Canis lupus familiaris: one gene and its partners. The protein of the gene in region 2 interacts with the protein of the main gene of each other region in a pairwise test. Links are inferred from orthologs where the notes say so. Each region holds a gene or a part of one and is shown on either strand. Other genes may lie near its edges.

The links.
Region 1: the proteins of HOMER3 (region 2) and EIF3D interact in binary tests that used the Homo sapiens proteins (3 or more experiments, as listed by UniProt). The two-hybrid records come from large-scale screens. The link is inferred for Canis lupus familiaris from reciprocal best matches to the Homo sapiens genes HOMER3 and EIF3D.
Region 3: the proteins of HOMER3 (region 2) and PAX6 interact in binary tests that used the Homo sapiens proteins (3 or more experiments, as listed by UniProt). The link is inferred for Canis lupus familiaris from reciprocal best matches to the Homo sapiens genes HOMER3 and PAX6.

Annotation. Positions count from the first base shown.
Region 1 is NC_049231.1:28,901,236-28,909,844, reverse strand, and holds the end of EIF3D (eukaryotic translation initiation factor 3 subunit D), read right to left. Parts: exon of another isoform or gene 8,571-8,609; coding exon 8,441-8,570; exon of another isoform or gene 7,341-8,440; intron 7,216-7,340; exon of another isoform or gene 7,082-7,215; intron 6,031-7,081; exon of another isoform or gene 5,898-6,030; coding exon 5,755-5,897; exon of another isoform or gene 5,578-5,754; coding exon 5,294-5,577; exon of another isoform or gene 5,283-5,293; intron 4,810-5,282; coding exon 4,796-4,809; 3' UTR 4,665-4,795; downstream 1-4,664. Other genes in the region: FOXRED2 (FAD-dependent oxidoreductase domain-containing protein 2), read right to left, coding at 376-923. UniProt on the Homo sapiens protein: mRNA cap-binding component of the eukaryotic translation initiation factor 3 (eIF-3) complex, a complex required for several steps in the initiation of protein synthesis of a specialized repertoire of mRNAs.
Region 2 is NC_049241.1:44,585,304-44,595,672, forward strand, and holds the start of HOMER3 (homer protein homolog 3), read left to right. Parts: upstream 1-3,699; 5' UTR 3,700-3,835; intron 3,836-3,941; exon of another isoform or gene 3,942-4,471; intron 4,472-4,816; exon of another isoform or gene 4,817-5,510; 5' UTR 5,511-5,578; coding exon 5,579-5,592; intron 5,593-5,671; coding exon 5,672-5,828; intron 5,829-6,079; coding exon 6,080-6,211; intron 6,212-7,495; coding exon 7,496-7,603; intron 7,604-8,456; coding exon 8,457-8,578; intron 8,579-9,119; coding exon 9,120-9,276; intron 9,277-9,598; coding exon 9,599-9,712; intron 9,713-9,807; coding exon 9,808-9,894; intron 9,895-10,369. UniProt on the Homo sapiens protein: Postsynaptic density scaffolding protein. Binds and cross-links cytoplasmic regions of GRM1, GRM5, ITPR1, DNM3, RYR1, RYR2, SHANK1 and SHANK3.
Region 3 is NC_049239.1:36,054,594-36,064,440, reverse strand, and holds part of PAX6 (paired box gene 6), read right to left. Parts: intron 9,293-9,847; coding exon 9,127-9,292; intron 3,257-9,126; coding exon 3,098-3,256; intron 2,614-3,097; coding exon 2,531-2,613; intron 2,297-2,530; coding exon 2,146-2,296; intron 2,047-2,145; coding exon 1,931-2,046; intron 1-1,930. UniProt on the Homo sapiens protein: Transcription factor with important functions in the development of the eye, nose, central nervous system and pancreas. Required for the differentiation of pancreatic islet alpha cells.

The DNA of each region.
Region 1 (8,609 bases), on a different chromosome or scaffold from region 2:
GCAATGATGGCTGAGCTGAATCCTCTCAGCACTGGATTTCAGTGGGAGCAAAGAATAGCAGAAATGACATTCCCTTGGAGCGCCTGGGTGGCTCAGTCGGTTGGGCGGTGGACTCTTCATTTCGGCTCAGGTCATGATCTCAGGGTCATGAGATGGAGCCTGGAGTCTGGCTCGCACTCAGCCCAGAGTCTGCTTGAGAGTCTCTCTCCTCTGCCCTCCCCCCGCTTGCACGCTAGCATGCCCGTGCTCTCTCTAAATGAATACAATTCTAAAACCCCCCCCAAACCCAAGAAATGGCCTTGTTCTCTCATTTTCTCCACACCTACCGGCTGATCAAGGGGTGCCAGCAGGTGGGCTCTGGGACCGGTTCCTTACCTGCACCGGTGTGCCTGGCCCGTCTGGTCGGTCAGGATGAAGTAATGGCCATTCCAGGCCTGCCGGTCCTTGTCCAGAGTGACGTGGGCAATGGTGGTGTTGTAGAGCACGCGCAGCCGCAGCCGGTCTGCGAAGTCGCCCAGGTAGCGCACCATGTCGCCCGCGTCGGGGAAGTAGGCGCGGGAGTAGTGTCTGAAGAGCAGCTGCGGGTCGTGGCTGAGCAGAGAGTTCCAGTCGTGGCGCAGGTTGAACTCGGCGTTGGCCTTGCCCGTGTGCCGCTTGTTGATGCTGATGAGCCTGCGGTGGCGCGGGTAGCGCGCGAAGAAGCTGCCGGGCCGCGGGGCGCGCTCGAACACGGCGTAGTCCCTCCCGGCCCGCTGCAAGAAGTAGGCCATCTGCAGCCCCGCGGGCCCGGCGCCCAGCACGCAGTAGTCCCGGTGCGGGGGAGCCGCGGTCCGGCCCGGCCGCAGGCACAGCGCCGGGTGCAGGGCGAAGGTCAGGAGCAGCCCCGGCGGGCCCCACAGCCGGGCCGCGGCCGCGAGGCGCATCCTGCAGCAGCCCGGGACGTGAGGCCTCGCTCGGGGTGGCCCCTCGAGGCCGGGGGTGGGGGGGGGGCTGGCGTGGGCGCTCAGCGCCAGGCGCGGTCGAGCCGGGACCACGACCCAGGGGCCTCCGAGCTCATCTGCCTGCCTCCTTCCTTTCAAGCTCGAAACTGGGGCTCCCCCCAGGGAATCCGAACGCCTCCATCGCCTCCGGGGCCTCGGTTGCCAGGGGAGCCACCCCCCTACTCATCGCCACGGTGGCACGAGGGTAGGTGTTCCCCCGTCCGCCCCCTAATTTGAGGGGTGCCCAACACCCTTCCCGGGTCCTCGCCGCTCACTCTCGAGGGGCTCCAGCCCGAAGGAGGTGTGGCCCGCAGGACCGCCCCCTGCAGGTGGCCGGCGCGCCCGACCGCTGACCACGTGACGGGGACGGCCCGGCACACCTGCCGCCGCGCGCGCTCTCCGGGGCTGCTCTCCGCGCGTGCGCGCTGTCCTCGCCCGCAGCGCCCGCCTCGCCGCACGGAGCGCGGACCGAGCCGCCGGGACGCAGCCCGCGGAGGACTAAGGCGGCGCTCCCCGCAGGCGCCGCGGCCACCCCGCCCCTCCCCTCCCGCGCGGCCAATCGCAGGGGCCGCCGTCACGTGCGCGGCGCGCGGCACGCCGGGAGGGGCGGGGCGGCGCGGGACGGGCGCGCACGTGCTGGCCGCGGGCTGCGGGGCGGGCGCGGGCGTTCAGGCTCAGCCTCTCCAGGTGCGGGGAGGCGCGGGGGCCGATGGCTTTTGGAGATCAGTGCAGTGCTTCCACCCCGCCGTTGACGTAGCCAAACCCCTGCGGGCTCCCCACCTTTGGGGGACGGGAAGCCAGGCCGAAGGTGGCACGGAGAACAGCAACTAACAGGTGCTTGCTGACTGACAGGCGTGCCTGGCTGGGTGTCCCACCAGCCGGGAGAGGTAGGCGATTGTTTCCCGCATTCTGTAGTCACCGGCCAAATGGAGGTTTAGCGGCGATTCGCAGAAGAGACCAACCAGTTCAGCGGAACCTGGAATTCATTCCCCAACCCCCTCTTTACTCCAGATTACGAGCTCTTTCCTAAGTGTTTTATTCACGAATCTTGCTTTGCATTCTCGGTAATGTAAACAAAGTGGCCTACGATAGGCCAGTGTAGACGCCAATCCACTGCTCATACACAGGTACCAGTGGAGCTGAAATGGAGGGAATGTGAACAGCAGGAAGATGATCCTGAGCCGCCATTGAGGTAAACTGGGTGATCAAGGCTGGCTTTGCACGGGTGGAATGTGGACCCTGGCTGGAGTTACAGGGGCAGAACCTAGGCTGTTTTGAGAGGAGTACAGAAACCTTCAAGGGTCATTATATAGTCCAGTGAGATGGGGCTGAGGGTTCTCACGGGAAAGCAGCCATGCCTGCTGTGGAAAGAACTTGATGGTCTATGGTCTAGCTTTGCATGGCTGGAGCTTATTAAAAATTTTCCCTGGGGAAGAAGTCTTCCCTGACCTCTCAGAACAAAGTACCCATTAAGGAGTGCCACTTCATCCGTTTATAGCCAGTATCCGTATCAGAGAAAAGGCCCATAGAGCAGAAATGATCTTATTCTCTCGTGACCTCAGTGCTTCCTCCAGCACCTGGCATACAGGCTACCAGTAACCATCTGTTCAATCAACACTGAAACCAGACAGGCTATGCAAAATACCAAAAATAAGGTAGGAAGGCCTACTTCTTGGTGGTTGTGAAGATGTGAGATTGGGTGCTGGCAAATAATCAAGTACCTGAAACTAGATGCTCATCCTACCTGATGAGTAAAGGGAAGGCAGGACTGATAAATTATGGCAGCGTCTGAAAGCTGGGCTGAAAAGCAGCAGGATACAGTGGGCGGTTTGAGTCAGCACTGAAGCAGCAGCTTGATGGCCCCAAGCAGGACACATACAAGTTGGGGATAAATTGAATAAATGAAGCATGTGGAAGCTGGTGCAAAGTTTTTAGGGCCCAGGGCTGAAACTGACTTCCACCTGCCCACTCATCCCAGCTAATCCTGCTGGACTGCATCATGGGTCTGCGAGAGGCAGTCTGGTGACGACCAGGCCCAGTTCTGAAACCCCATGGCACTTGTTACATCACTGTAATGTGTACTTTTTAACAATCTACCTATCTCAAAGGCTCTACAATAAGCATGTTTCAGGGACACCTTGGCGGCTCAGTGGTTGGGTGTCTGCCTTTGGCTCAGGTCATGGTCCTGGGGTCAAGTCCCACATCGGGTTCCCATGGGGGGAGCCTGTTTCTCCCTCTGCCTGTGTCTCAGCCTCTCTCTGTCTCTCTCATGAATAGATAAAATCTTAAAAACAAACAAACAAAAAAACAGCAGCATGTTTCATGTCCTAGTTGTTTAGCAAAACCAGTAAATGTTTGGTTGCTTTCTTAGGCTCAGTTATTTTAAAGATTTTTACTTATTTGAGAGAGTGCGTACACGCACATAAGCAGGGGGAGGAGCAGAGGGGGACTGAGAGACAGACTCCCTACTGAGCAGGGAGCCCAGTGTGGGGCTCAATCCTAGGACCCCAGGATCATGATCCATGCCAAAGGCAGACACTTAACCAACTGAGCCACTTGAGTGCCCCTGAGGCTCAATTATTTTGATTAAAATAGTAACTTCAAGAATGTTACTCAAAAGCTGAGCCTGTTTCCTCATCAGTACAATGGCATCATTTCGACCAATATTCCAGTTTTGGGTCAGGCTCATGAGGTATTTATGGAAAGCTTAGTACAATACCTGGCAAGGTAATTACTTCAAACCATCAAGATTAGAACATTATTCACTTACAAAAAGTTTATATAACTGAAGATGTATAATTGATTTATGACACATTCTATGAGGGCGCCAGCTTGGGACTGTCATCGCCCAAACCAAAACAATTTACAAACAGCAATCACCACCCAGTGGAATATCTGTCAAAATCTCCTGGGGCCCATTTGCTTCAATGTGGATGGAACTGGAGGGTGTTATGCTGAGTGAAGTAAGTCAATCGGAGAAGGACAAACAGTGTATGTTCTCATTCATTTGGGGAATATAAATAATAGTGAAAGGGAATAGAAGGAAAGGGAGAAGAAATGTGTGGGAAATATCAGAAAGGGAGACAGAACATAGACTCCTAACTCTGGGAAATGAACTAGGGGTGGTGGAAGGGGAGGAGGGCGGGGAGTGGGGGTGAATGGGTGACGGGCACTGAGGGGGACACTTCACGGGATGAGCACTGGGCGTTATTCTGTATGTTGGTAAATTGAACACCAATAAAAAATTAATTTATTTAAAAAAAAAAATCTCCTGGGGCATGGCCCTCATGAACAGTAAACCCACTCTAGCCTTCAAAGACCATGCCTTGCTCTGCCTTTTATGAGTTATTTGTGTCTCTAAGGGCAGCAGCTGGGTCTGGCACACAGCCAGCAGGCACCCACGTCTGTACAAATGGACATCTTATGGGGACTTCCATCACGCGCTGACACATCCCCAGGGCAAAATCCCCAGGAGAGGATCATGTCAAGTGGTTCTAAGAACAAAAATATCGAGGACATTCACCCTCTAACAGGACTATACGATGAATGATGCTCAGGAACAAACTAAGGAGCCCTGATTATGAACTCCAGATAGTAAACTGCTGTTGCAAACTCTCCCTCTCCCAAGAGCTCCTGGGGGAAGGCATAAGGGCTGTCAATCACAATGTAAGCATGTGACGAAGGTAGGAGACTAAATGGTTAGACTTTATTCCACCTTCAAACCTCAACAATAATCAGACAAGCATTCCACTGGGCATCCAAAGCCTTCTAAGCTCAGTGGAATCACAAACTCCAGCTCCACGTCACCATCCGGTTTAAGTTTCTTCCTCTGAAAGACACAAAATGTCAGAGAAATGAGCCATGTCCTACTGGCGCCCTGCTTGTGATTTTTTTTTTTCTTTTTTCTTTTTTTTTTTTTTTACCATCTCCACTTGGAAGTTAAGCCTTTTGGACTGTTGTGGGGCTAAGGGGAATTTCCTTCAGTCACCAGCTGGAATAGCAGGCACGAGGCAGCTTTGAGCCTGTGTTAACTAGCACAGAGCATCTTTTCTCCTTCAGACCACTGGCTAACCATTCCACTGCCTTTCTCTAGATGCTTCTTCCTCACTCTAGCCTCTCAAAGGCCACACTCCCCCTGAGCCCCTCAGGTGATCTAAAGGCTCTTAAAACAGCTTCTGGCTCTATAGAGTGAAGACTTCTCCAAAGTCTAGTCTCAGGGAGCTCTCCGGCAGTTCTATACCAGGGCTACAGAGCTCAGTCCCTAGCTAGCCTATAGCCACCCTGGACCTCAGAAAGAGGCCTGCTACACACACCTTCCTCCTCTTCCTCCTCCTCCTCTTCATCCTCGTCATCCTCATCAGAGCTGAATGTGCCATCAGGCAGGCTGTAGACGCGGATGACCTGCTTGTTGGGGTCCTTGAGGATGAGGTACTTGCCCTCCTCGAGTTTCATGCAGATGTCAATGACGCAGCGCAGGATGCCCCAGGCGTTCTCCACACTCAGGTTGATCTGGCTGGCAAACTCATTGGGCTTGAACTGCTGGGTGCCCAGGATGACATGGCGTGAGGAATCTTTCACGTGGTACCGGGACACATAACTAGCGGGAAGAAAGGGGTGTTGGTGGTGGAGGCAGGCCTGCACAGAGTCACAGCAACACCCAGGGCCAAATAATCAGTGCTTCCCAAGGGAGAGGGGAGAGGCAAGCCCTGCTCTCCCTGCCCACAGACCCCTCCTTGTAGCAGATGCATTCATGACCCCTGGACACAAAACTCACCCAAGCTTGAGATACTCAGATCCGGCCAGCAGAGCACAGCAGGTCCATCGGGCCAACTTGTAGCTGTTGTTTTTCAGCTCAGTGGCAATGACAGCCCCTCGCTGAGAGTCCAGCTTCTGACGCCAGTCAACGCCGTTACAGTGCTGTGGAAGGCAAGCCCAGCACAAGAGTGAGGGGCGGCTCCTCCTGCCCGAGGCCTGGGACCTCCTCCAGCAGAGAAGGAACTCCCTTGTGGGCTTGACTTGGGAAGTGGGTTAGTCTGCAGGTAGATCCCAGGTAAGACTGTCACCTCTAAAACAGCAAAGACATGGTCCCTCTGCACGCAGCCTCCCACACAGCAGGCACCCAGCAAAGTGTAACTCCTCTTGTCTAGACAAGGACACATCTTTTACAAGTGAACAAGTACCATATGAATGGCAAGGACAAGCGTTCAGCATGTGTTGTGTGGTAAGGAATGGTTCCATGGAGGAAACAGAATAGCTAACCAAGGGGAGGACATGGACAGAGGCTGGAGGTGGTGTGATCTGAGAGAGACAGGGAAAGACAGGTCATAGGCCGGGTCAGCCTTGCATGGAGGTGGAGGCCAGAGTCTAACCCTGTGTATATGCACGTGCATAAAAAGAAGGGATAATCTTCTCCAACCACCTCTCTCATACATGTAGAACTTGGGACTCTGAGCGAAGTGACTAGTTGAGGGTCACATGGCAGAGATTCTCAGATTGCCTTGGTTCATGGAAACCAGAGGCTAATAAATACTAGAGTTCTTTTAGAAGCTAGGCCTAAAAAATTCAGAGATAGATATGTTTCCCTCAAAAATCACCCTTACGAGACTGCTGTGGCATTTCATGAGCCTCTCCACACATCTGTGCTGGACAGAAGCAGCGTGGGGGGGTGGGTGGAGGAGGGTGCTCAGGAGGTCAGTAAATGCGCAGTAACAGGCATGATTAACAGTGTCCTAAACTGGGGTGATGTTGGCAGAACCAAGGGAGAGGAGATGTTTGAGGCTGAGCCTAAGGGAGCAGGAGAGAAATGAAGACATTGGAGGGAAAAGAGATTTCAGCAGAATAACAATGGAAAAGGAATCAGAGCAGATCTGAGGAATCACTGTTAGAATTCACTGTTGAGGCTTCGAGTAGGCATAATTCTAAGATGACCCCCAATGGCCCCTTCCCATGTGTGCATGGCCCCGTGCCGCTGAGGAAACATCACGCCCATAATTATGCTACCCCTTCTATGTCAAAGGTTTTCTGTACACATACTTAAAGTCCCTTAACAAAGGGAGACCACCTGGGTGGGCCTTACATAACCATGAGTCTCTTAAATCCAGGTGTAAGCCAGACACAGATGTCGGAGTTTGGAGGCAGGAGAAAAGTGCTGTGCTGTTGCTGATTTGCAGATGGAGGGGACCCTGGGGCAAGGAATGTGGGTGACCTCTAGGAGCCGAGAAGCCGCAGGCGACAGGTAGCAAGAGAATGGGGATGCTCAGTCCCACAATGGCAAGGAACCCTGAATTCTGCTAAGTAGAATGAGCCTAGAAGTTTCTTCCACAGCCTTCAGATTCATTTTAAGCCTGTAATTTGTTACAGAGCAAAAGAAAACTAATATGAGGCGGTATACAGACGTAATTGTGGCAAAAAGAACTCCCTGAAAGAAGGATCCATTGGAGGTCAAAAAGGAGGAGAACCAGCAGAGAAAACAAGTGAAGGGAGGGAAGAAACATATGGGTCCAGGTAAGGTAGCAGCACAGGGGGCAAAGCCACATGGCTACAGTGATGCCAAATGCTATGGGGAGGCCTGGTGGAAAGTCTAGGATGAGGCCACTGGCCCCAGAGCTAAGTTTGTAGCAAGGCTTCTGGTGTGCTCTTTCATCAGGTGACAGAGACTGGGGAGTGGGAATCAGTGGTGGTAAATGCTAGCCCCAAGGCTCTAATGAAGGCAGAGCAAAATGGCCCATAGACTCCATCTCATCAGACCCCGTTTGACAGAGGCTCAGCCTGAGCCGTCCTTCCCATGGAGGACCCTTTATTTGGTACACAGCCCCAGGAGCACTGCCACCCACTGTAGTCAGGCACATAAGCCTGGGCAGCTTCAGGAAGGGGAGCAGCCCAACAATCACAGAGCACTAGCGTGAGAGGGCAGCAGAAGCAGGAAAGATGAAGGAAGCACGTTTCTTTCAAGAGGCCTCCTGAAGAGTCAAATCTTCACTGATCTGAGAATCTCTGAGTTCAAGAAGTGAAGGAGTTGGAAGAAGAAACCAAAAGGTTGGAGAGAAGGTAGTGGCTGCTTTCAGTGAAAGAACAGATCAAAAGAGCTCCAGGGCTTCCAGGAAACCCGCCAACCCAGACGATGAGAGACCAAACCCCCACGCTTGCAGAGGGCAGAAGCCAACAGGAGGGCAGACTGGAACAGTTTCAGATGAAATCCCATGAGAAGGCAGTTACTACCGCTTCCTATGTGCAAAATAAGAAAACTTCTTAAACTGTAACCACATTCTCTACACATAGACACAAATCTCCTCAATGAGGAATTATGGGGAGGAAAAACTCAGATGGGGAAAAAAAAAATTCCTGGTAGCTGTATGATGCCCGGGGGGGCATGAGACCAAGGCTCAAACGCTAACCAGGGAGTTCGCCAGTGATGGCACACCCTGCAGGAAGAATGGCCAGGGCGACCAAACGCGCCTCACCCTGGAATCCCACTCGTTGAGTGTCTTGATGTTGATGAAGGACACTTCCCCGTTGGCTCCAGTCATGACACCATCGTGTTCACAGCGCACAATAAGGTCAATGTCGTCTCCAAGTTTCCACCTGCGGTACCTGCAGAGCCAACAAGGAGCCCGTTTGGTACCCAAAGCT
Region 2 (10,369 bases):
AGCTCAAACCCAATGTCAGATGCCCTCCTCCCAGCCCCTTCACATCTTCCAGGGGCTGCTTGTTTCACGAATTAACCTTGGCCTTGTGCAGAAGTTGAGTTGGATCTGAATTTAAGGTGGGGTCTCTCTAGAGTGATGAAACATCACCAATATTGAGTCATCAAGTTCTCCTATGCCATGACCCCCATGCATCCACTGCATGCTGGGAGAGCTAGACACAGACACCCCTAGTCCCTAGGATCAGAGTTGGGTCAGAAGGAGGGAGGGTGTTGGGGAGAGTTTAGAGGGAGACATGGGATGGCTTCTCAGAGAAGGGAGCATTAGAGGTGGGATGAATAGGAGCTTCTTAGGAGGCCAAGGTCTGGTGGCTGGCCCAACTGGCCATGGCTGAGGGAACATGGAGAAAGAGGATGAATGTGGCTAGAGGAGCATATAAGGTCCCATAGCTAAAGATTTAGAAGTTATCATGCCAAGTTGGATATTATTTCTGTCCTTAAAAACTCATACCTAGTTGATCTCTCAACCCCTGACAGAAAATATTCAGAATTTGGCTCAGGATCAAAAGCATATGTCCAGACAGCCAAGAATAAATATAATGTTTATAACAACCAGAATTTATTAAGGTGTCAGGGTCATGCCCTTTTCACACAAGGACTTGTTGGATCCTTAAAGTAAACTTCAGCACCATTTTTATGTCCCTTTTATACATGGGGTAACTAAGGCACAGAGAGGGAAAATGGCTTCTTTAAGGTCACACTGTTCTTAAGAGGCAGGGCTGGGAGTCACTCGTTGGTCACATGACTCTGGAGGCCACCAAGGACCAAGACTGGGGCTTGAGGATCCTCTCCTTCTTGAAGCATTTCAAGAGTTCCTGCTGCAGGTCAGGCTTGATCTAGGTGCTGGGGACAGAACCATGGAAGAGGTGGACAGTAACCAAATGGCCACTGTCATCCACATCATGAAGTTGGGCACGTAGCTTTGGGAAAGAGTGACAGACTTCCCCTGATCTGGTGGGATAGGAACTCTCCAGGGATGAGAGACAATTTAGCTTCAATCCAGAGGTGGGTCAGATTTAACTAGGCAGAGAGCAGAATCTAACCCATAAGAGCCACTCTACAAATACAGCATCCCTAGAGCTGAAGAAACTTTTCGAGGCTCTGCTTGGCCTTTTCTGTGACAGGAAGTTTGTTCCCTTATATCCCTCTCTCATGCCCAAGGGAAAGCTATTGCTTCTTTTTTTTTTTTTTTAAAGCTATTGCTTCTTATCAGCCACCCTGGGGTGGTGGCCTCTGCCCATTCTATAAGGACATCCCCAGGCAGACTAGGCCTCAGGCTGGGGTAGAGGTGGCAGCTTGGGGCAGCCCCCTACTGTCTCTACCCACAGGAGAGTGAGGAGCTGCTCGTGTTCCCCAGATTCTCCTGCTTCCTCTCTCTACCCCTTTGCCCTGCAAGCGTCAGACCATTCTCCAGGTGAAAAAAGTGAGGTCCACACTGACAAAGCCATTCCCTCAATTTGTACTTGAGTGACACTACATCAGGTCAGGGCTGCTCAAGGCGAGCCCCATCCCAACTTCTCCTGGAGCCCTGAGGGGGGCCCAGGGAAGTGATTCAACTCCCCACTCTCCGTCATGTTGTTGCCTTCTGCCCACACAAGGAATAAAGTCAGCCTAGGCCCCTCTCCTGGCCACCCCCACAGAATAGCCACATGGCCCTAGCTCTGTAGCCGGCCAACACAGCACACCCTGAGTGGCCTCCAGAAGCCTCGGCCCTGTCGGCACCTTTCCCAGTTACTTAATTTTTTTTTTAATTATTTTTTTGGTAATAAGGAAAAGTCACTCTTTGCACAGAACAGACGGTATTTTCTTTGTTCCCCACAATGTTCAAAGCGTTTTGTGGCTTCAGGCCTGAAAGTGAAGCCAAATCCTTTGCTTGTGCAGATGCCTTGTGAAGTTAGAAGCAGCTGGGGAAACTGAGCCTGAGCCTCAGTTTCCCCAGCAGGGGTGAGCGGTTCCTCTCATACTGGGTGAGACTGGGGCTCCAGGATGGGCTAGTCCTCCAAAGACTGCTCAGACCTGGCCACGATGGAAGTAATACACAGATAATACACATCAGGGAAGGGACGCCTGGGTGGCTCAGTGGTTGAGTGTCTGCTTTTGGCTCAGGGCGTGATCCCGGGGTCCTGGGATTGGGCTCCCCATAGGGAGCCTGCTTCTCCTTCTGTCTGTCTCTGTCTTTCTTTCTGTGTCTCTCATGAATAAATAAAATCTTAAAAAAAAAATACGGATGAAGGGTCCCAGAGAAAGTGATGGGGTCCTGGTGCAGTACACAGCGAGATCCCTTCCAAGCCCCAGATAGAGTAGCTTCTAGGGCAAGAGGGGCCAGTGGAGCAGAGCCTGGAAGGACAAGGCCAAATATACACCAGCAGAAATGGCATTCCAGGTGTAGGGGAGAGTTTGGGCAAAGGCCTGAAGCAAGGTAAACTCCATCTTGGTCTGGAAATAAGTCTTCAGAAACGACGCGACCTGGAATTCACCTAAAGGTAATTAGAAGATAGCTACCAGCCCAGATGATTCTGGTCAGGGGAAAACAGAAATAAAAACAGGGAAATGAGACGGGGCGGAGAAGGCAAAAAGCAAAATCTCTGAGATTGTTGGAAAGCTCAAGCATGAGGTTTAGGGCTTTAGGGAACTGTAGGCCTCGGTTTGAGGGAGCTGCAGTGCCTCTGTCCACGAACCCGATGGCACTGTGTGACTTTGGAGGAGTCCAGAGAAAGGGCAGCCACTGGACTGCCAAGTAAGTGGGTCCCACAGGCAGACCCTGGCCTGGGGAGGCTGATCCTGGCTCATCTCCAGTTGGACCCTCTCCTGGCAAGTGCCTGAAGGGTTCCCCCTGACCAGTGATGGCAAACCCAGGCCTGAGGACCTCCAGGAGATTTGCACAATTGGTGGGAGCTGGGCCCCAATATTCGCTCTACCCTGGCTTCTGAGACCCTATAACATAGCAATACTGATAATTCGACCATGTTGGCATTGTTACCTTCCTCTCCTGGGAGACAAGGTGGATAGAAGCCTCTCCCCAACAGGGGATTGGAGCTGGGGGGGGAGTCAGGCAGGAACGATTCCTAACGGGGCACCCCTGATCAAGTCTCATTAAGTGCCTACTGTTTGCCTCTCTCAGCCTCTTCTAGCTTTCGCCCAGCCTGTGTCTGTTTCATTTCCAGGCTACACCCACTGAGCACCTACTGTGTGCAAGCACCCAGCTCCGTGCGATAGAGGAGCCCCGGCCTCTAGATCCCTGTCAGGTGGAGAGGGACTCCCATCAAAGGCAGAAGGTCATGACCTCAGGCAGTGCCCCGAGGGCCAGGGCCGCCCCGACAGGACGATCAAGCCCCATCCTCCATCTGTCTGCCTCCTGTGTCTCTCCCTCATGTCTCTGCCTCTGGGTCTGGGTCTCTGTCCCCATCCGCCCCGGCCCTCTTCCCCGCTCTTCACCCCGCCCCCCGCCCCCAGGGAGTCCCGTCCCGCCCCGCTCCCGGCTTCCGCCCCTCCCTTCCCCCCCCCGCCGCGGAGGGCCGGCAGGGGGCGCTGCGGGGCGGCCTCGGCGGCCCGGGGAGGCGGGGCGGGCGGCGGCCGCGTCGGGACCGGCCGCGATGGGACCGGAGGCGGCGCGGGCGGCGGCGGAGGCGCAGACAAAGGCGCGGGCGGCGCGGAGGGCGGCGCGGAGGGCGCGGGCCCCGGAGCCAGCGAGCGAGCGGGGCGCCCGGCTGCGGGGAGTCGGCGCCGCGGGGCAGCACCCGACTCGCGCCCGGACACTCGCGGGGCGCCGAGCCCGCAGGGTGAGCCCGGCTGTCCGAGCCTGCGCGGGGGACGCGGGGGCCCCCAGGTGCCAGGGCCGGGGCGAGGGCGCGGGGGTCCCCGAAGTTCCGGGCCGGGAGGCTGGGGGCGGCCGGGGAGCCCCGAAGTTCCAGGGCTTGAGAGGGCGCAGGGGCCCCGAAGTTCCGGAGCCGGGGTCGGAGAGGGCACGGGGCGAGGGGTTCCCAAAGTTCCGGACCCGGCGTTGGAGGAGGCTGCGCTGTCCCCGACGTTCCCGGCCTGGGGTTGGGAGGCGGCACGAGAGGATCCCGAAATCACCGACCCGGGGCTGGAGAGCTGGCAGGGAGTCCCCGGAATTTAGAAGTCGGAGGTGGTGCGAGGGATCCCCGAAGTTCTGGACCCGGAGTCGGGGGGCATCGCGCGAATCTCGGAAGTTCCCGGGTCGAGGGTGGCACTTCCCGAAGTCGGGGAGCGCACTGGGCGCCCCGATTCTGACGCGGATGGGAATTCTTTCCTTACTGAATACCAGGCCCCCCAGCCCGGGGCGCATGGGGTGGGGCTTCGCCCCCACACGCAACTGGGGATCCTGGCACCGGGCGGGGTCCGGGCCTCCTCCGGGAGCCCCGCGGCCGGCGGCGACCGAGGCACATGACTAGTTGGTGAGTAACTTTCCCCAAAGCTGCAAGTCGCGGCAGGACCGTCAGGGCCGGCAGGGCCTGGGTTTCTGGGACCCCTGCACCCTGGAACCCTGCTTCGACCCAGGACTTGCTCCCAACCCGGGCCAGCGCTGCCGCCCCTCCCCCACACAGGGGCTCCGGTTTCAGACCCTGTGACCCGGGCAGCAGCTGCCCAGGACAGGGTGGGGGGGCAACCCTCCTCTGACCAGGGAGGCCGCTCCGCGGGGGGCCTCCCTTCCCCCACTGGCCACCTCCCTTCCCCAGGTCCCTCCTGGTCCCCTGCAGATCCCCCAGATGCAGGTTTTGGAGGCACAGAGGTGAGGTTAAGGAATTCTCCAGGGCAGCCATTCCTGGTATCTGTGAGGTCGTGGCTGGAGGCAGCAAGAGGGGCTGGGGATCTCCCAATCCTTGATGCCACCCAGCCCTGCATGGTATTGGGATAGAGTGGTCATGGGCAATCGGTTAGTGGGTACCAGGGTAAATTTGTTTGACTACATCTTCTTAACTAGGCTGGCAGCTCCCTGGGGATTTGGACTCTGCCTCCAAGTGTGCCTCTGCCCTAGAGTGGAAGCTGAGGGGTCCCTCTGTGGGATCTAGGAGGAACTGGTCTCCCAGGAGGCATCTGGTGATGGCCACATTTTGATGGAGATCCTGGTTTGGGGAGTGATGAGTGAATGTGGCAGAAAATACCAAGTAGGAGTTCACCTTGGCCTTCTCTATCTAGCACCAGTATTGAGGGGGTGTCACTCTGGGTTCAGTAACCAGCATGCTGACAAGTTTATGCTGGGAGATCCAGGGCCACCTGGCTCCTCTCGGAGAGTCATCTCCTGCTCAGGGTGTGTGGGGGCTTCCTCCCAAAGGAGAGGGACAGGGTGTTTTTGCTGAATGATCTGCTGATTCCTTTACCTTTCTAATTGAGGTTCTATGAATGGTGTGGCTGGTGGTGGGTCCTGAGGTTGGACCCGCTTGGTTTCCTTAAGCCTGTCCTGGGGAGACACTCACAATCCCTCTCTCCCCCCAGAGGCTGAACCCGCAGCTCCTGCCATCCCTCTGGCTGCCTCTTGGAGCCCACCCAACCCAACCTGACCAATGTCCACAGCCAGGTGAGCCCCTGCCTCCCCAGCTTGGCCCTGAGCCCCCTGGGGGATGCCTAGCCCCACTGAGAACCGTCTCCCCACGCAGGGAGCAGCCCATCTTCAGCACACGGGCACATGTGTTCCAGATTGACCCGGCCACCAAGCGGAACTGGATCCCCGCGGGCAAGCACGCACTCACGGTCTCCTACTTCTATGATGCCACCCGAAATGTCTACCGAATCATCAGCATTGGGGGTGCCAAGGTCCTGGCAGGGCCTGGGTGGGGGTGGCAGGCTCCTGAGGTCTCAGAGGCAGGTTTGGGTCTAGTCATTACCCTGCTGTGTGCCTGGGGGCTGGGGGTTGGGAGGAGCCCTTAAATCAGTCTCTGTCTTGAGATGGCTCACACCTAGAACCTCCCAAGAGCTAATACAAAGTGACACCCTGGGGGTCTCATGTTCATTATTGTCAGTCTCATCAAGCTTGAATTGTGTTCCCCCCTCTTCCCTCTTCCCAGGCCATCATCAACAGCACCGTCACCCCCAACATGACCTTTACCAAAACCTCCCAGAAGTTTGGGCAGTGGGCAGACAGTCGTGCCAACACCGTCTATGGCCTTGGCTTTGCTTCTGAGCAGCATCTGACCCAGGTGGGCTTGCAGGATTACATGGCGGGAAGGACAGGGCTGGCCCTGGGGTTCCTCTTAGGGCCCTGGGGGCCTCTGGGCAGGTGCTGTAGAATAGGCATGAGAATTAGACAACCCTTCCTGGTTCCCTGGCTCATGTCTCAGCTCTGCTGGCCATCTGCTCCAATTTTGGACACACCCCGCCCTTCTCTGGGTGCCTGGGATGAGCTGGGAGTTCCCTCACACACCCTAGCACTACCTTCATCATTGCCTCCCTCCACCCTCTGCTGTCTTCAGACTTCAATATTGTCTCATCCCATTGTTCCCCTGGATGAGTAGTGCTTTCTGATTCCTAATGAGATCGTGAGGATTCTCTTTGCTTCTAGAAGCTTTCATTTTCCTTTCAAATTTAGGTCTTGAATTAATTTCTGTGGGTGGTATAAAGCAGGAGTATTTTTTCTCACTGAGTATTTAGTTGCTCTTCAACCGTTTTTTGAGATGATTTCCCTCCAACGACTTGCACTGGTCTCTTCCCCCCAATCGAGTGACCGTCTGTGTGTAAACATTTTCTTTAAAAAATTATTTTCAAACTAAAGAAGTTTATTTTAAAATGAAAACCAGTGTATCCTACCCTAACTGGAAAATCGGTATAGGTAGAGTAGGAATGAGAAGAGGGTGATTTACTTTTTCACTGAGTACAGGTGCCTCTCAGAGGCTCTGAGCCCAAGACCTGCTTTCTCTGTGTTATAAAAAGATATTCACAAGTGTCCGGGGCATTAAAGACAGCACCCACCTGAGGCTCTCCTTGCTGAAATAAGCCTGACTGAGAGGAAGGGGATCCCTTTCTTTCTTTCTTTTTTTTTTTTTTCAAGATTTTATTTATTTATTCATGAGAGACACACAGAGAAAGAGGCAGAGACATAGGCAGAGGGAGAAGCAGGCTCCACAAAGGAAGCCCGATTCAGGACTCGACCCCTGTACTCTGGGATCACACCCTGAGCCGAAGGCAAATGCCCAACCGCTGAGCCACTCAGGCGTTCCAGGGGATCCCTTTCTCAAGGTGGCTCCATGGAATTCACGTCCACCTAAATCCTACCTCCACCATGATACTCAGTCTGCTCACTGGAACAACTTATTCCAAGCCTCCTGACCACTCTTCCAGTTCATGAGACCAGAGGATATGCATGACTCCTAAAGTCCCTTTCAAAGTGACAAGGGTGGTGCTGGGTGGGGGTGACCAAGTGAGGCCCTGGGAGAGGGGGCTGGGTTGGCTTTGACTGTTTGTTCTGCTCCCCTCCCCACCCCCAGTTTGCTGAGAAGTTCCAGGAAGTAAAGGAAGCAGCGAGGCTGGCGAGGGAGAAATCTCAGGATGGGGGGGAGCTCACCAGTCCAGCCCTGGCGCTCGCTGCCCACCAGGTCAGTATTTCCTGTCCCATGCCTGCCAGTCACTCAGCTGATACTGAGGGTCCAGGTACTGTGCTGGTGCCCAGGACCAAATGCTCACAGATCCCATAAAACTCCACCTACAGCAGGAGCCTTGGAAGAAAAGGCTCAGGAGCACATCCTGGGGGTCCGGCCTAGCCTTGGATCACCGAAGGCCTGGAAACCAGCTTAGATGGCGGAGTAAAAACCCGGAGGTTGAAATAGCTAATGGGGGTGGTGGGGGGGGGGTGGCCAAGTGAGAAACTGTCCCGGGAGCTTTCCCCCACTAATTTATTCAGCATAATTTACTGACCACCTACTGTGTGCCAGGCCCAGGGCTGGGAAAGAGGGTGACAGAGATGAAAAAGCAGGCTGCTCCGGACCCTCAGAGCCCGCGGGCCAGGCAGTGAGGGGGATACATAATGAATTCGGCCTGGTGGAGGGCTTCCTGTCTGAATCTTAAAAGCAGGTGGAAATTTGGCCCCAGGGAAGGACATAGCTATGAAGGAATAGCACAGAGGTTTCACATTGCTCCCCCCACCTTTGCAGATTTTGAGTATCTCAGTGGTTTATTTAGACCAGCCTGAATCAGGTGTGCCTGGGGCCTTGGTGAGAGCCCAGGGAGGCTAAGTGGGGGCACAGTGCCTGGAACTCTGGCCCAGGGGCCATGGGGAGCCACAGAGGGTAGATGAGGAGAGGGGCGCGCTTGCATCCCAGGGCTGGAAAGGACCCTGGCCTTCAGTCACAATACCGGTGACATCAGCGCTGACCCCAACCATGACCTTACCGGTCCTTGGCCGAAGCCACACCCCAGTGTGACCCCTCTTCTGCCCACGCACGCCCTTAGGTGCCCCCAAGTCCCCTCGTCAGCGCCAATGGCCCCGGCGACGAGAAACTGTTCCGTAGCCAGAGCGCCGACGTCCCCGGCCCCGCCGAGCGCGAGCGGCTCAAGAAGATGCTGTCCGAGGGGTGAGGCGGGTAGGGCGAGCAGAGGGGGGTGGCAGGACGCCAGGCACCCGGAGTTGCTCCTCAGAAGCCCTTGGGGCGCGACGGGCCGCGGGATCGGACTGTACCCAAGGCCCGGGAAGGGGAGGAGACTGGCTCGCTTCCGCCCCTCCTGGAGCCGACCTCGCCCCTGCAACGCGCTCCTCCTTCGAGCACGCCTTCTCGGGCCGCCCCTGCCCGACCTCATCCTTCCCGGGGACTAACCCTGTCTCGGTCACGCCTCCCCGAGCGAATTCTAAACCCACGATGTCTCCAACCCGCGCCCGGTTCGGAGCACGCCCCGAGGGGCTGACGCCGCTGCCCCTTCCGTGCGTCTCCCTGGGCGGGCACCCGGCCCCTACTTTGACCCCGCCCCGGCCAAGGCCCCGCCCAGATGGCCCCGCCCCTGCCAAGGCCCCGCCCAGGTGGCCCCGCCCCTGCCAGGGCCCCGCCCACGGCCCCGCCCCGCCGCTGCCCCTACCCTTTGGGGCCGGGTCTCGCGCCGCCAACCCTTGCACCCCTGCAGCTCCGTGGGCGAGGTGCAGTGGGAGGCGGAATTCTTCGCGCTGCAGGACAGCAACAACAAGTTGGCGGGCGCCCTGCGAGAAGCCAACGCCGCCGCCGCCCAGTGGAGGCAGCAGCTGGAGGCCCAGCGTGCCGAGGCCGAGAGGCTGCGGCAGCGGGTGAGAGGATCCCTTCCTCCCAGAGACTCCGAGTGGCCCCAGCAGCTGGGGAGTCCGGGCCTCCGCAGGTCCTATCCGTCCTTGGGTTCACTGCCTGGCTGTGTGATCTCTGCAGGTCATTTCTCTGAGCCTCAGTTTCTTGTTCTGTATTATGGGTCTGAGATAATGCCAACCATTGTCAAACCCTAAAGTCCTACCTGCTGCATGTTGGTGGCCCCAATCAGAGGGGATGAGTGCCTAGTCATGGGTGTGACCGAGCAAGGGCAGATTCCCCAGGAGAGTTCAGGCTGGGTGTCAGGGGCTGACTTTCCTATCCACACAGGTGGCTGAGCTGGAGGCCCAGGCAGCGGTGGCGGAGCCACCCTCGGTCAGTGAGAAGGAAGGGCCAGGCCAGTCACTGGAGCAGCTGGAGGCTCTAGTGCAAACCAAGGACCAGGTGAGCACTGAGTGTGTGTCCCTGGGCTTCATCTTCCCTGACATCCCACAAGGGAGCCAGGACCCCCAGAATAGACCCTGGGAACTCTTCTCTAGGAGATCCAGACACTGAAGAGCCAAACTGGTGGAACCCGTGAGGCCCTGGATGCCACGGAGCGTGAGGAGGCACAGCAGAAAGTGCAGGTGTGTGTCGTGGGGTGGGGTGACAACACAGGGGCAGGCGGCTCCTGGTGTGGGACAGACCTGGGATCTTTCTTTCCTATTGGGTCCTGGGCAGCTGTGTGCGTATCCAAGCCTGTTTCTTAACCTGTAAGGGGTGAGGAAGAGATTTGCCTAAGGTTGTGAAGGATTGGGAAGACCGGGTACATGGAAAGCCTGAGTTGCAGCCAGTGTTTTGTAAAGGACAACTGTTATTAGGACAATGTTTCCTATTCTTTGATTCAAAAGCAATTAACAAATATTTTATTTATTTGAGATAGAGCTTGGGCGGGGAGGGGTAGAAGGAAAAAGAGAAGCAGGTTCCCCACTGAGCAGGGAGCCTGACACGGGGCTGGATCCCAGGACCCTGAGATCATGACTGAAGTCAAAGGCAGACGCTTAACTGACTGAGCCACCCAGGAGCCCCTCAACAATTTTTGAGTCCCTGCTGAATTCCCAT
Region 3 (9,847 bases), on a different chromosome or scaffold from region 2:
CTAGGTGAATAAGAGATACACAGAGCTGAGACAAAAATCCCTCAGGAGCTCACACGGAGCTATGCCAGGCCAGCAAGATTGGAGGAATTAATAGAAACCTAATGCCAGGAAGAAGGGAGATGATAGCACTACTCTGTTCTGCAAACTGCAGAAATGTTGAACTTTTCAAGATTCACCATCTCAGAAAGGGGGACACACTAGAGAAGGTTCAGAGGAAGACACCTACCCTTTGCAAAATGGTCGAAGATTTTGGTTAACAGGATGAACTGATGGACAGACAGACCAGCACCGCCCCCCAAATCCAAAATTCAGAAAGTACATTTTCTCTGAAAGGTGGAATTACTAATAACTTTTTCATTTTCTTACGTTTTATTTTTAGATAAGTTGTGTAACTTTCAAAAGTTAGCATCTGAAATAGGTGGACCCCACACCAGTCTATAGGTGGAAACGACCTTAGTAGAGCGGCAGCACCTATGTAACTGCTTCTAAGTGTTTTCTCACATACAAATTTTGTTGTCTTGGCAGAAACCAAGATGCTGCCATAATTTGCAAGACCAAACAAGACATTCAGTTGCCTTATTCTAGTCAGAGGACGACTGTGAACATCAGGTTCAAAGAGGCAAGCAGGCCTTTGGGGCCCTGCCAGTATTTCAGCTTGCATTTGTTGCTAATTCCCAAAATCATTTCCTGGAAGCAACCTGGCTTCTGGAAAATTCCAAAGCAGTTGCAGGAACACCAACCAATGGGCCTTTAATTCCTTAACATATATTAGTTGATCTATGGCCGTTAATATCCAGATGCAATAAAAATCAACATGTGAATAATTCCTCTGAAGTTGCTTCCCTAGCTGCTCCTATTTTAGTCTGAAGACTGTGAAACATCTATTTTTTGTTTCTTTGTTATCTGGAGTTTAAATTCGTCAAAAGACATTCAGTGGTGAGTAAACAGTCTGTGGAACCCCAGCACTGTTTCCAGCAGGGGCTCAGGCTGGCCAGTCTCTCACCATCCGGCACCTTCCAGGTACTGCACAAACAGGAGCCCTGGGAAAGTCACCATGGAAGGCCCTGCTTTATAGAAGGCCCACCAAAAGATCAGTTGTTTGTTTTTTTCCATCAAGAATCCATCCCCCTCCAAAGTTGTAGTCAACCCCACCTGCCTCATGCAACTTCCATCAGAAAGGGCTAGTAGCCCAGGACAGGGCCTTGCATGCAGAGGAGCTGACAAGCATTCTCCACAGAGCTGAGAATAGAGGCAGTTTGTTAGACCAAGTGAAGAACATCAACACAGCCAGGCAGCCAGGAGTGCCACAGACGCATTACATCATTTATGTAATGACGTCACAAAGACACGCTAAACTTTTAGCAAATACCTCTATCCCTTTTCTTATTGTAAGATACAGAGAGAAAACTCATTGTTCTTCCCTATTAAAGTATATCCTACGATGCAAATATAAATCTTATTTCTGATCCTTTTCTCCTTCCTCCCTAGTTTATCACATATACTCTAAATAATATCCAAAATGCATACACCAGTTATGTATTCATTAATATGAACATATTAATAAAACCCAGATTTACGTATATCAACCCCTTACTATCCAATAATGTGCCAGCATTGTTTCTGCTTTCTGGTACAAATTTCACCGGTACCCAAAACACTCCCCATCCCCACCCAACATTATGAAGCTACCATTCTCTCTGAGCAAGAGGCGGATTAACTTGGTTTTTATGGGTTTTTTCAGAGCATGCATCAGTCAATCCATCAATCCAGCTCAAAGACTGGACTGAGTGTTAAAACTTGACTGGTGAGGCCAATCACCGCAGTGAGAAAGGCTCCCGAGGGCGTATGCATGGCCAGTGAGGTCTGCAGGCCCTGACCCACTCCTCGCTTCTCCGGGGCCGTTCCACAGCCAGCCAGGGGCCTCACTTACTTGCATAGGCAGGTTATTCGCCATGGTGAAGCTGGGCATGGGCGGCAGAGCGCTGTACGTGTTTGTGAGGGCTGTGTCTGTCCGGCCCAACATGGAGCCAGAGGTGAAGGAGGAAACTGCAGGAGAAGGACAGTACAGACAATCATGCTGAAAGTCCGAGCCAGGACAAATAGGTTAGACACATTTAGTAGGAGGAGAATGAATATGCAAATTACCAGGCGTGGTGGGTTGTGGGATAGGTTGGTAGACACTGGTGCTGAAACTACTGCTGATGGGGATGTGACTGGGTGTGTTGCTAGCCTGTCTTCTCTGGTTCCTCAGTTTTTCTTCTCTTCTCCATTTGGCCCTCCGATTAGAAAACCATACCTGGAAATCAGATGGAAGGGGTTAGGCCTTTGCCTACTCCCAGCTTAACCTCCCCCCTGGCACCTCCACCCCTCCCCACCCCCAGGACCAGTCCCCCAGGGGCAGCAAATCATTTAGCAGACTGAATCTTCTACTGTTTATATAAATGAATGGTGCTCCTCGGAAGCACCTTTGTCTCCAGAAAGGGCAAATGGTAGGAGTCACAAAGCATGACACCACGTGGTCCCTGGGTACCTGTATTCTTGCTTCAGGTAGATCGATTTTGGCCGCTAGTCTTTCTCGGGCAAACACATCTGGATAATGGGTTCTCTCAAACTCTGAAAGAGTAAGTTGAGTTTTCCGTGTTGCGCCAGAACGACACAAAATGTGTCAACCAAGCCCTAGATCAAGCTGGTTCCCACCTCCCCATTTCTGTCACCTCCAACCAATCCCCTTACAAATGCTACTAGTCCAGGCATTGACTGATGCTTGAAAGAGCTATCCCACTCGAACCAAGTTAAATTTTCTTTGGAATGACATTCATTCGAGGACCCTGCAGTGGCCTGAATGAGCCAAATCATCATTTTTTTTCTTTATGAGAAGTCAGACTCTCACTCTTTGAATTACTGGTACATGAAAAGAAGAAAGAAAACACACACACACACTGAAAAGATGCCCAGGAAAAAAAAGAAAGAAAGAAAGAAAAAAGAAAAACCTTTTCAGTTCTCTATGCAAAGGGCCCTGGCTAAATATAGCTCTTTGTACTGAAGATGTGGCATTTAGTTTGATTTACTGCTTCTCTACTTTGAAAAACTCCATCACCTTTCTCCAGGGCTTCAATTTGCTCTTGGGTAAAGGATGTTCTATTTCTCTGCAGCTTCCGCTTCAGCTGAAGTCGCATTTGGGCCTCATCTGAATCTTCTCCGTTGGAACTGATGGAGTTGGTATTCTCTCCCCCTCCTTCCTGTTGCTGGCAGCCATCTGGAACAAAAAGAATAGGACAGTAAGAGAAATCTGGAATAACTTGGAGCCTCCCAAAGAGGCCTGGGAATAGCCCTACAGTCCAAGAGCACAGTGCATCCTGACAGTCTCACCAAGACATCCTCTGGGTCACTCGGCGTCAGCCTTCTCCTAATAAAAGGCATTAGTGACATCCGTTACCTCTCTCTCTCTCTCTCTCTTTTTTTTTTTTTATCAAGTTTTTACGTTTTTATGTTTTTGTCAGGAAGAGACTTACAACATAGACGTTACAGAGTGGCAGATCTTTGAATAACAAGCGCTGAAGTTTCCAATTAAAATGGCCTTTGATAACTAACCTTGAGTCCCGAATGCCCCGCTCAGTCCCCATTCCCCACAGAATTTATTTACCTATAGCTCTGTTGGGAAAATAGAAGAATGATGTTCAAGATTTCAGCTGATCCATAATCAGTAATTCCTATCTAATCAATTAGATGTTGATAGGTTTGTAGAAAATGCTATTAAGAAACCAAACCAAGCTTGTAATCTTTTTAAAAAAATATTTATCTAGTTTTTATTTGAATTCTGCACAGTCAATTTCATTTTAAAGGTTGTGAATTTAGAAATGCTCGCATTGTTCTGCAGTTTTATTCAACTATTGTATGAGTGCGCTTTGCCTTGACACCTATTACGAGCACAGCTGTAATTATATCATCACCAAGAACAGGCTATAATTGCTGAAAATGGAATTTTATATTTAGATAAAAGGACTGTCCATTCTTTGTAATGTGTTGCACCAGAGAAAAGTAAGATTTCTTTTAAATTTTTAACGTGTAATTTTAAAAAAGAAATAGTAGAGAGTTCACTAACTAGCTAAATATGCTATGCTGCAGCTGAATCCTTGGCATATCATTTAAGTGGTACATTTTTAATTAGGGCATTTCCACCACTTTTAATGTAATTTCTATCATTAAACAGGGGAAAGTTTTATTGTTTTCCCTTGCTGCTTGGAGGGCAAGATGCACACTTGGGCTAGCTGTATCTCGCCTTGCCTCCTGCTCCTGAGGCCACAGCCTGGAGGACTCAGCCCTCTCTAGGCCTCCAGGGCCACTGCAAGCTGGGTCCGAAGTCTTGGGTCCTGAGGCCCCCAAGGGATACCAACAGGGGCTGCCCACCCCCCATCCTAGAAATTTGGCCATTTGGGGGCGGGGAGGGGCCTCTAGGGGCGCCTTGGTGGGAATCGACTTGGCCAGGAATATCATTTATAACCAGGAGACAATAGGCAGCGCCTTCAAAGAGTTCAGGGAATTGTGACAGGATCTAGTGGGATCTTTTCAGGAACTTTGAAATGTTTTAAAACCCCAACTTTCTCCCCCATTTAAACAGGCGGATTCATCGGCACTGGCCACCATATGGGCCCTTGGAGATCTATTGAGATGACCACCAACACTTGAATAGCGAGGGGCTGCTTTTCAGCGCCGCACAATGCCCGGCGAGTAAGGGAAACTATTAAACTCCTGGGGCAGGAGCGTTGGCAAACTTTCGTGGGCAGAATTTTGAGGCCACAATGAGCGCGGACAACAAAAGGATTCTCTTGAGGCGTGCAGCGGGCCACATTGTGTTACAAGAAGCCCAGTCAACAGACTTTTCAGTGAAGTGTGTTAACCCCTCTGCTCTGCTATCATTAATCACTGTCCGAAGAGCAGGCGCCTCAATGCTATTTAGGGCGCTTGGCTGGGGGGATAGAGGGTGGATGGGGGGCCAGGGCAGGGGGTGGGGGGAGGCAGGGAAAGTGGATGGGGACCGGGGCGGGCTGGTGTGGGAGGGGCGGACGGGGAAGGCCGAGAGGATGGAGACCAGGTCTGGGGTGAAGAGGGAAGCAGGGAGGGAGGATGCGGGGACCCTGACGGGGCGGGTTGGAGAGGAGGAGGGAGGGGGCGGAAAAAAGATGGAGGAAGAAAGAGGGCTTCAAAGAGATAGAGACCAGAAAGGTAGAAGAAGGACAGGAAAAAAGTGCTGAGAGGAAAAAGACGCCAAAGGGTCTAAGGAGACAGGGAGAGAAAGGAGAAAAGGAAGACAAGGGAGAGAGAGTCCCTAAACAGGCAGGCTCTACTCTAGGTCCTCCAGCGCTACTTCAGAGACCTGGTGAGTTAGGAGAGGGCTACTTGGCTGAGGGAGACACTCAGTGTGTGGGCACAAGTGTCTGCACTAATTTCCTGCCCCAAGTTTCCAGGTGACTTTCCAAAGTGGAAAGAAAGAAGAGCCCCCTTCCCCCACTTTATTTTGAGATTTGGTGGACGAGAAGGACTTTAGAAATAGCCCTTGGGGGCCAGTTAACTAGAAGTGAGGCCTGTGGGTTATTGCTTTTGGAAAACACAAAAATCTCAGACCATCTTATGTTCAGAGACAGGGGTGCTCAGGGGAACACAGCCCTCTCTTGGGTTGGGGGGTACTCGTGCCTGCCAGGTCACTCATGCCCACCCCAGTGCCTTCTCTGGCATATCTGATCTCACCAGTTAAACAAAGCTACCCAGGTCACCACCTCCCTAGAAGACCCCTGCAAATAACATTCTCTGCTCTCCTTTCTGACATTTTCCCAATTTTAAAACTTGGGAGATTTGCACGCTCTCCTGCCCCTGGCTCCCAGCCCTCACCCCCCAATCTCTCTCTGTGTCTCACTGTCTCTTATACACCAACCAAGGCTCAGACGTGGCTCTCACTGGACACCTGACATTTAGGGGGTCAATGGGATAGAGAGCCCTTTGGAGCGGGGGGAATTAGAGGCCCATCAGGGGAAACCTGAGCCCGCAGGATCCCTCCAAACCCCACAGGGCGGGCGAGCCCCCGCTCCAAGTTTGTCTGCTACTTTCCAAGTAGCAACTGTTGGCAGCCAGGCACTGAAGGAGAGGTCACTCTCTAGGACTGGGTGCCCTTTTCTTTTTCTTTTTTTTCCCCCTTTAGTGGATTTACCTTCCACTCTTAAGGCTTTTAAGAAAATCACACTAAAAGTTGGACAATTCTCGAATTCTCCGTATGATGAACCTAAGTGGCAGACAATTAAGATATCTTCTTTAAAAGGCAACCCCCTCGGAGCGCGCAGAGAAGGGGCCTTCAAGGGGCGCCGTCCACCTTCCAGCCTAATCCGTGAGAAGGCGAGTGAAAGCGCCTCCCATTATCACAGCCCCAGGACCATCTGACGCTGGGGATAGGATTTGTTTCCTGGAAGAAGGAGAGGAGGGAGAGAGAGAGAGAGGCAGAGAGAGGGAGAGAAGAAGGAAAAAAAAAAAAAAGACGCTGGGAAATAAAATCATTCCTTAGTTTCTTAGTGTCTTAATCAGTGAGGCGGAAAACAAGCAAGAAAAGATAGCAACCCGGTTGCGGCACCTTCTCAGCTCGGGAGCGCGGATCAAAACATTGTAGCATCTGTTGAAAAGAGCCTGACTAAATCCTATAGAGGGCCTGGGTATTATGGGGGTGGGGGTGGGGGTGGGGGTGGGGGAGGAGATAAGAAAAAGTGTCTCCGTGATCCCTAAAACCAGCAAACCGCCGGAGAATTGGGGCTGGATAGAGTTGTCTCTTGTTGTCAGGCCGCGCCGTCACGACTTCATTCGCCGCCGCATGGCGTTGATCAGATGGAAACCGTATTTGTCTCCCTCTGAGACCTAACCTCGCCTTATGCTTTCGGAGTAATGGACTCTTTAAAGCCCCCAGACGGCTCCCCGGGCGGGCCGGGGGGGAGGGGGCGGTGGACAGGAGGAGGGGGAGGGGGGGTCGGGGCGCCCAGGGGCCTGCGGGCTCCCGGGCTGCACCTGCACCTGCACCTGCCCCTGCGCGCCCCCCGCGCCCCCGCGCGCCCCGCGCCCGCACCCCGCACCCCGGTTCCTGCGGGCGCGTCCGCGTTCTCCGGCCCGTCGGCGCCTAGAAGTTCCAAGCTCCTGGATGAGCGCCACCTCCCGCCGCCACCAGCAGCACAGGGGCGCTGCTGCGCGGCCCTCGCTTCCCGCCCTCCAGCCGCCCGCGTCGGGCGCCGCCTCCGCTGGAGACCTGGGGCGCGGGGCGAGCGGGGGGGCGGCCGGTCTGCAGCCCCGGGCTGGCGTGCGGGCTCGGGGACGCCGGGGCGCGCGCCTCCTCCAGGCCCCCCGCCACCCTGAGCCCCGGCGCCCAGGGGGCCAGGCCGCGGAGGCCCCGGGGCTCAGCCCCCGCGGGGGAGGGCGCCCCGGGACCCCGGGCTGCAGGGGCTCGAGGCGCGCGCTGCCAACTTCGGGGTGGGGGTGCGCGTGGGGGGGCCCGGCGTGCGCACGCGGGAATCCCACGGCTTCCGAGGTCAGGGAGGGCGTGCGGCCCCGCGCTCCGTCACGCCGGGTCCCGTCCGCGACCCCGCGGCCCGGCGAGGCCGCGCATCCCCGGGTGTGCCCGCTGCACCCCGGAGGCCGCGGGGTCGGGCCGGCGGGGTCGCCCGGGGGAGCCGGGGGCCCGCGCATCGGGAGGGAGGCCTCGGCCGGGCCTGCGGCCGCGCGGGCAGCCGCGGAGCCAGCGCCTCGCTCCCTATCTTCCCAGTGTCCGTCCTATATTGTTTCCTGCTCTTAAAACTGACATGTCTAATTGGCAATTGGTGCCGAATCGTGTCCAGAGGTCTCTTGTGGAACATTTCTACAGCTGTCTCCTTCAACTAGACGCTTATTCATGTCGCCTTAATGAGAAACAAAACGTTCTCTAATGAGCAATTACAGAGCGACAGGATTGTTCCCATAACAAATTCTTGCGAGTGACAGAAGCATCCTTTGTACCAGATATTTCGCATACTGTTACCGATTTTCCCTTCTCGGGCCGGGCTCCGCGGAGGCGCGGGGCACGCGGAGCGGGGCCGGGAGCGCAGGGACCCCGGGCAGCCCCGACCGCGCCCCGCGCCCCGCGCCCCGCGCCGCCGCCCCCGGCCCGGAGCCCCCGGGCTGCGTCCTGCTCCGGGGACTGAGGCGCCACGTCCCATTATCCCGCATATTATCTCCTTGTCACAAGGACAACAAATACCGATTAATCTTCGGAGTAAACTGTTTCCTATTCTTGACCAAGCTACCTCGGGGTGTGCAGGGGAGGGGCAAGCCAACTGGCCCCACCCCACCCCCCATCTGCTCCTCTTCCTCCATTCCTTCTCACGGATCCTGCGACCCTCCAGATTCCTTCTCTCCTCCCAGCTGCCACCACCCCCCCCCCCCCCGCCCTGCACCCCCAGGGAGCAGCTCCGGACACCCCGCAGGCCGGCTCACAGCATCCTCACTCCACCCTTCTGTGCAGTCACCACCCACACAGGGTGAGAACCGGGAGGGCCCAGAGGAGCGGAGGCAATGACCAGAGGTGACCAGAGGCTGTTTGAGTTGGGAGACCACCACTTCCAATTGCCCTATCCTGTACCCCGCCCCGCATCTCGCTGCCCGCCCTTTCTTATGCACCCTACTCATAGTCACATAATTTGTCAATTACGGCAAAAAGCAAAACGATACAATTATGTTTACCTCGCAGGCTGTCAGTGTGTTAACTTGTCACACACTTCTACAGCAAGGGGGCTCTGCCTGCATTTTAATGGCAAATTTGAATAGGGCACCACTCAGCTGACTTCTTACACACGCATATTCCTGCCCATGATATACGTGGGCACACGCACCAGCAACATTCTTACTACTCCTGACCCACGCAACCCTCAAATTCGAAGGCCAACGAGATAGTTCGACAAATACTACCCTCACACGGGGTAAGTCCACGTGTCCCGAGCCTCTAGACAGTCCCTCCGCTACACTCTTCAAGCACAGAAGTGAGGAAGAGGGGGAAAAGTTGGGGGAGAAGATGGGCCAGTGGCTGCCTATATGGAGAGTTTCAAGAGTGGGTGCTCAGGTTTTTACCTTGCGTAGGTTGCCCTGGCACAGAAGTCCCCGGATACCAACCGGGGCGGGTGCCCCAGCTTCCAGTCTGCCCGTTCAACATCCTTAGTTTATCATACATGCCGTCTGCGCCCATCTGTTGCTTTTCGCTAGCCAGGTTGCGAAGAACTCTGTTTATTGATGACACCTGCAAATCAAACCAAAATCAAACCAAATGGTAGCGTCTCCCGAAGGCAGTCCCCTATCTTCCGTCCCCATCTCAGCACACCCACTCTCTTAAAGAACAACCTTGAACACGTCAAAAACAAACAAACAAACAAGCTCCCAGCCATCCTGGGACAGTGGGTGGATTTGCAGAGACATTTTGGACAGAATGACAGCCATCACTTGGGGCGTGGAAACGGAGTTGGGCAGAGAATGCGCGATGGAGAGGGCATTTCCTTCACGGCTGCTGGCTGTCTGTGCTGACCTAATCTTTGTTCAAAGATTTCCTCAAAAAAGACTTAGACTTGCTTTAGAGCCTTCTTTCACTTTGTTTTAAATTAGGGCAAAAGTGGATGTTTGACACCTGAAGGAAGGTTCAGGCAGTCTGAGTTGGAGGAGGTTAGAATTTGGTTTTCGTTTTCCTTTTCCTTCTTGATTCAAGTGCCTTTCCCTGAGCGCCTCCACCCTCTACTTTGCAGCATGCAAATAAGGTGAACAGCTCCCCACACTTGACTCCCATTTTCCAGAAGGTCAAAAA